Danio rerio: one gene and its partner. The protein of the gene in region 1 interacts with the protein of each later gene in a pairwise test. Links are inferred from orthologs where the notes say so. Each region holds a gene or a part of one and is shown on either strand. Other genes may lie near its edges.

The links.
Region 2: the proteins of katnal1 (region 1) and cox17 interact in binary tests that used the Homo sapiens proteins (3 or more experiments, as listed by UniProt). The two-hybrid records come from large-scale screens. The link is inferred for Danio rerio from reciprocal best matches to the Homo sapiens genes KATNAL1 and COX17.

Annotation. Positions count from the first base shown.
Region 1 is NC_133185.1:41,477,454-41,481,114, reverse strand, and holds part of katnal1 (katanin p60 ATPase-containing subunit A-like 1), read left to right. Parts: intron 1-1,662; 5' UTR 1,663-1,748; coding exon 1,749-1,910; intron 1,911-3,661. UniProt on the Homo sapiens protein: Regulates microtubule dynamics in Sertoli cells, a process that is essential for spermiogenesis and male fertility. Severs microtubules in an ATP-dependent manner, promoting rapid reorganization of cellular microtubule arrays.
Region 2 is NC_133184.1:22,851,325-22,855,085, forward strand, and holds the start of cox17 (cytochrome c oxidase copper chaperone), read right to left. Parts: upstream 2,385-3,761; 5' UTR 2,303-2,384; intron 2,060-2,302; 5' UTR 2,045-2,059; coding exon 1,923-2,044; intron 479-1,922; coding exon 394-478; 3' UTR 364-393; intron 1-363.

The DNA.
Region 1 (3,661 bases):
TTTAAAACGTTATTACAATAAAACATCAAATTTATACACTTTAAGGAGACCAGGTCGGAAAAAAAAACACTTGAAATTGAACGTTGCAGTTTATCATGAATATATAAAAATGCCAAATATGCTGCATACTGTGAATGATAACATTTATATTTTGGGCTTTTTGGCTCTTCATAAAGTGTAAGGTTTAATGGAGTATAGTCTAGTGCAGGGGTGCCCAAACCTTTTCTTATGAAGGGCCAAAAACCTAACTTGAATGAGTGCAGTGGACCAAAGGTAAATTGACAGATACATAAATACACAAATAGTTAGACATATAGACAGACAGACATAGATTGATAGATAGACAGACAGATAGATAAATAGATAAATAGATAGATAGATAGATAGATAGATAGATAGATAGATAGATAGATAGATAGATAGATAGATACATAGACAGACAGACAGACAGATACATATATTACAGATATATAGATATATAGACAGACATACAGACACATATGTAAATGGATAGATAGATTGATTGATTCTCACTCTCTTCTCAGCTGGCATGGCAGGCCAAATCATAGTTTACCATGGGCAACTTTGTCCCGCGGACCCTAGTTTGGGCATCACTGGTCTAGTAGAAAGAAAACAAACTTTTAATCACAAAAGCCTACATATTTGTAGTTTTTACTCAAACTTTTTATATATCTTTACTTTGCATATGCTTGTATACAATTTTCCTTTTTATATACTGTATTTCCTACAAATAAATATTTATTTTTTGTCAATAATAATAAGCCTAGAGTGATAAAAGCGAGACACATTAATTCCCCTTTTTAAAATCACTTGACTCTAATATACGACTGATAAAAAGAGTAAAAAGAATTTTCATTAATTGATTTTCCTTCGACTTAGTCCTTGTATTACTATGGGGTCGCCACAGCGGAATGAACCGCCAATTATCCAGTATTACACAGCGGATGCTTTTCCAGCTGCATCCCGGTACTGGGAAACACCCATACACACTCACATTCACACTTATACACTACGGCCAATTTAGTCTATTCAATTTACCTGTACCGCGTGTCTTGGGACTGTGGAGCAAACCCACGCCAACACGGGGAGAACATGCAAACTTTACACAGAAACGCCAACTTACCCAGCCGGGACTCGAACCAGCAACCTTCTTGCTGTGAGATGACACTGAGCCACCGTGCTGCCCCCAAATGAATAATTATATAATATTATGCAAACAATATATGCAAATTAGTGACATTTTATTAAATTAAGCCTAATTTGCATATTTAAAGTAAACAATTTGAACAGAAAATCTGTAATACAAATAAAAGTTTGCAATTTTTGATGTAATCAGTCAATTGGGGAATAGCAGTAGTGTTTAAGAAAAAGCCTTTTACTCTTATCAGCTTCCATTTGTCACATTTATTTCATACGCAGCTTGTACAAATGTACACATACGCACATTTTCTATTTTCATATACTCAATGAATGTATATTTTCTCACACACCATTAACTGTTAACAATAAAAATGCAGTTACACACAGCCAAAACTAAACTGTATCTTGTATGCGTTTGAGCAGTCGAGACTGAGTAATTGTATCAGTGTAAATGATTGATTCAGCTCTGCATCATCTTATCAGCCTCTCTGTTCTCTTCAGGACTCATGGCCTGATATCAGCAGCTCTCAAACTAGAATCTCTGAACTCCAGTCGTGTTGAAGAAACATTCTGATTTCTCTCTCATCATGAATCTGACTGAGATCTGCGACAACGCTAAGAAAGGAAGAGAATACGCGCTTTTGGGGAACTATGACTCTTCTATGGTGTACTATCAAGGTGTTATACAGCAGATCCATAAGCACTGTCAGTCCCTCAGAGATCCTGCACAGAAAGTCAAATGGCAACAGGTAAAACTCTCTTATACTTTATAACTGTCTAACTGAATATGTATGAGTGATTGTTTATTTAATACCAAAATATATACAGCAGTGCTTCCCACACATAGACTTTACCTGGGTGGGCCGCCCAGGTAAATTTAGTGATTTTTTTTTTATTGTTATTAACATCCTTTACATTTTTTTTTGCATCCGCTCAATATAACCAAACATCTGCAGTTGATCAAGTAGTGGAAAATCTTCTCTCGTTTACCTGTTACGTTCTGTGCATGCGAGACTTGTCAACACTAGGAATGGGATGATAACCGTTTTCAAGGTATAAAGCGGTTTGGAAAAGTTAATGTTTTAAATCCGCCAACATTTTCTGTAGGACCGTTCCTAAGGTATAAGTAAGATTTTTTTATTTACAACAGAATTTTCAGCAGAAAAAGATGTCGTTTTAAATAGTAAAGAAATCTGTGTTTTTGAAAGAAATGAAGACAGCATAAGTCAATGATTGATTTGAATTTTTTAGCCTGACATGATTGCTGCTCCAAAATATTATAAGTCTTTCACAAAATAAAATATATTGTTTTCAAAGAGAGAAAGAGTTTTAGTTTTTTTTTTTTTACATTTAAAAAGAACATATTCAAGAGCAGTAATCACAATACCGTGATACCATGAAACCTTGATATTTTTGTCCAAGGTTATTACACAATCAGAACCGGCCCATGCCTAGTCAACACACACTGACGGTCTCGCGTGCTCTGCAGACCCACAGAGACATATTTTTTTGGGACTTAAAATTTGTCTGCCCCGGGTTTCTAAATCTCCTAAAATGTCTAAAAAGTCTACTTTTGCTTTTCCTCCTAAAGCTTGTATGCGTGTTTACATCACCTTTTTACTTAAGGCTATTCGCTTTGCTTCGCAATTTGCGAGAGAAACATTCAATGATTAATTTTTAAAATCTAAACAACTTTTACAAATTTTACAATATACGCGGAGAAAATGTACATCATTAGTAATGGTTAATCAACTCATTTGGCTTAATAATCTCCTTTTAATCTTGTAATTATGATCATTTTTAGAGATATTGACTTTTTTTTATTCCTTTTTCTGTTTTTTATTTCTCATTTGCTGATTATTTCATTAATGTGATGATGTTAATATGTTACATAGGCTATTTTATTTACTTATGTAAAATGCTTTGGCATTTAAGTTTGCTCTGAACTTGAAAGAAAGAGAGACGCAGATTTGACCTGTCAGCGGGTGCACATGGCTCCTGAATAGCATAAAAGTAAGAGAAATTGTGGATGTGTTCTTCTTTTTTATTTATTTTTTAATTTTTTACTTTACCCATTGAAACTTCACAGTGTATATTAAAATTATTGTTCAATTTAATTATATATTGTTTGTCTCATATAGTTAACTATTTATGTGATTTGGGTAAATGGTGTGTTTCAGTTTGTGGCTACCAGCTACCACTGAAAGTAAATTTCAAACCTGTGGGCACTGATACAGTTGAAGTTGAAATTTTTAAATCTCCTGGAAATTTCTTTTCTTTTCCAAATATTTTCCAAATATGTTTAACAGAGCAAGAACATTTTTACAGTATTTCCTATAATATTTTTCATCTGGAGCAAGTCTTATTTGTTTTATTTTGGCTAGAATAAAAGCAGTTCATGGTTTGTTTAAAACCATTTTAAGGAAAATTATTAGCCCCCTTTAGCCCATTTTTTTTTAGTCTACAAAACAAACCACTGTTATACAATAACTTGCCTAAT
Region 2 (3,761 bases), on another chromosome or scaffold:
AAAGCAATTAAGGAAACATTACATATACTGTAAGCGATTCATTAAACTGACAGAAACATCTTTATTATTTCTTCTCTTATTTCATTTAAACTCTATTATAATTTAGTCCCTTGAGCAAGAAGCAATTTAGGAAAAATACCCAAGCTGCTCTGTTTTATAGAAAAGTAGCTGCTTTGAATTGTGCACTATAGTAAAAAAAATTTGTGAATCCATACACACTTTGTAAGGATCAGCCTTCACTTTTCACTTTTATAATATGAAAGAGAGCAGCTTGGACAGTGTTAAAATAACTTGCATGAGAGAGCACAAAATGTCACTAATTTGCAGTTCAAGAAAAAACTTTCAAAAGAAAAAAAAACTCACCATTCACTCATGATGATGATGATAGTGGTGTTATATGTTAAAACCAAGCGCTCTCATGCATTCCTTGTGTGCCTCGATGAGGTGTGTGCAGCTTTCCTCCCCCTTTTCAATGATGCTGGAATAAAGACAGTATTGTTTAGTTGCACACTGTGGCTAAAACACTTGCCAAGCATCAAATTAGTGTATAAATTGGTGTGTGTTTGTGTATATGTGTGTGTGTGTGTGTGTATATATATATTTCTATCCAGCTGACTGGCAGTATTTTGTTATTCATTCTAACAATGCCTGAGAACATGATATGATTTGCATAATTATCAAATCATGCAGAATGCACTGCAGTTATTTAATCTATTGATGTGATCTTTTGATCTATATATAGATAGAGTGAGAGAGATTTTAATATTGATGATCATATAGTGATGATTGATAAGTATATATTAATATTATAAATTGATTAAGGTTTTGCTAGTAGAGATCATCTGCATTATAATCATTGGACTATTACAGCCATGTGTAATCTACTGGTTATTTAAGAGTTAAGCTGCTGGAAAATTCTTATCTGAAACACAGTAACATTGTCTTTAAAAACGCCTGAGACCATGCTTGGGTTACTTTTGCTTACAGAGGCTGTCTCTTTGTAAACTGATCATGTCCGGAGAATAAAGCAATTAAAAGACTAACTCTGTCTGACTTTATTCAATTTTAGACTGCACATTAAAATCTATTTCCTTGTGAACAACAAGAAAATAATTTCTCATAACAATTTATGGTCTTAAGTATAGGATGAGTTTTCCCAAAATAAAATTAAAGTTTAGTTAATTTCTTTATGTATCAACAGTTTTTATTCATTTATATTCTCTCTTTTTTTTACTATTTCATAATTTATTTCAAGTAACAATGTGATTAAAGTTTTAAATTAGGCAATAACCCTGCCTTATTCAGTTATTGTTAACTGCAAATTATGTAAAAAATAAATGAATTAAAAAATAAAAACTGATCAGAGATTGGGAATGGGAATTCCCATTTTTGTGCTTAAAAAAATGGTCACTGGTATTAAAAGATTGAGGGAAAGTTTTATATTCACACATTCAGACTTTCTCCTTAATAATATAAGTTCAGAAAAGTATTTTATGCCATTTCTAAATAGTGGACACCGTTTACAGCAAGGGCATCCAAACTCGGTTCTGGAGGGCCAGTGTCCTGCTGAGTTCAGCTCCAACTTGCTCCAACACACCTGCCAGGAAGCTTCTGGTATATGTAGAGCTTGATTAGCTGGTTCAGGTGTGTTTGATTAGAGTTGGAGCTAAACTCTTCAGGACCGAGTTTGAACACCCCTGGTTTACAGTCAAATATATAGTGCTAATGTTGTTCTGAAGTCATACTTACATGTGATTTCAGACCAAATGTTTAAAGTAACATGGTAAACAATATAGGGAGCAAGTCACAAAACGAATGTTCGAATATAAAACCAACTTTACCACAATTATCTAAAGGTCTGTGTGATAATTCACTTTAAAGGATAAGTTAACTACTGAAATAAAAACAGTTAAAGTGCTCACCAAGCATCTCTTTCTTTCTTGGTCTCGGGACAGGCACAGCAGGGTTTGAGTGGCTTTTTCTGCTCTGCTCCCTCTATCGCTGCAGGTGAAGCCTCCACACTCGCTGCTGACAGACTCGACATTTCCACTCGATAAAACTGTAGGAGAATAACAAGACAGCCGATTAATCAGCTCTAAACTACTGCGAACAACCTGCAGCTGACCACCATATTGATAGTTACATCATCTTCAACAGTTCCTTATATTGATAATATTATATTTACAGCTTCAACACTCGCGTTCAACACATTATGTATTTAGGCGCTGGTAACACAGATAATCACGCCTGCTATCAGGTGAGATTTAATAATAAAACATTTACCACTCAAACGTTCACTTACGTTATATGATGGATAGAGACTGATGTGCTCACGTGCGTCCTTCCTTACACAACCTGCTGCTGCTGTCAAAAGCTGTAAACCCGGAAGTGTCGATCGGCTTCCGGGTAAAGTTTAAGGTCATTTGAAAGCTAAATAACATTCAAAGTTAATCCAAGCCGTTTTTTTACATATTTGTGATTTTAATGCAAGTTAGAGGTAAATAAAAAACGCGATTCGAGCTGAAAACAAAGTATAACATAACCCGAACGACAATATCATAATAAAAGTCATGTACATGATAAAAGCCTTGAGAAAGTTTTAGCTAATTGATGTATATTATCAGAATTTAGGTGTTTATTTATTTTTGAAGTTAGATTGTATATACGGCATTTCAAATTTAAGTATTTACAGATCAATTCGAATGACATCTTTACTTTATTTAATATTTGCAAAATAGTTTTGCTCTTTAAGTGAGCAATTGTTCAAGTTAAACTGACTAAAAATACGTTGTTTGTGTGTATGTATATACTTGCACATTCATTTTTTTTTTTTTTGGCTCAGTCCCTTTAATAATCTGGAGTTGCCAAAGTGGAAAGAATCGCCAACTTATCCAGCACATGTTTTACGTAAAAGATGCCCTTCCAGCTGCAACCCATCTCTGGGAAACATCCATACACACTCAATCACACTCATACACTACAGACAATTTAGCCTACCCAATTCACCTGTACCGCATCTTTGGACTTGTGGGGGAAACCAGAGCACCCGGAGAAAACCCACGCAAACGCAGGGAGAACATGTAAACTCCACATAGTAACACCAACTGACCCAGCCGAGGCTCGAACCAGCGACTTTCTTGCTGTGATGCGACAGCACTACCTACTGTGCCACTGTGTCGCCATACATGCACATATATTGAAAAAAAAATACATTGCAATATTTTATTTTTCTGTTGCAATATGAAGTATAATTTTACCAGATGAAATAAATGGCTCAATATGGTAAGAATTCATCATTTTAGATTGACTGGGATGCTTTTGTGAGTGCATCTGCATAAAATATAATATACCAATCACAAGCGTTGATAAATACAGTACAGCAAAGATATAAATTAAATAAACAGTATTTTACAGATTTCTGGAGGTCTAGCAGTATTCAGGTGCAAATTGTATAATCAAATGTAAAATGACCTATTACAGTCTTCATTGTATTTATAGATAAAATACAATTACAGTATTCTTAAAGTTACAAACATTACGATTTCGTGTGCCTGAATGCTCAACATTGCATATTTGCTGACTATTGCGGTTTCATACATTGTGATATCAATATTGTGCAAGCCAAATAAATATACAGTTGAAGTCAGAATTATTAGCCCCCTGTTTATTTTTTCTCGAATTTCTGTTTAACGGAGAGCAGATTTTTTTTAAACACATTTTTAAACATAATAGTTTTAATAACTCATTTCTAATAAATTATT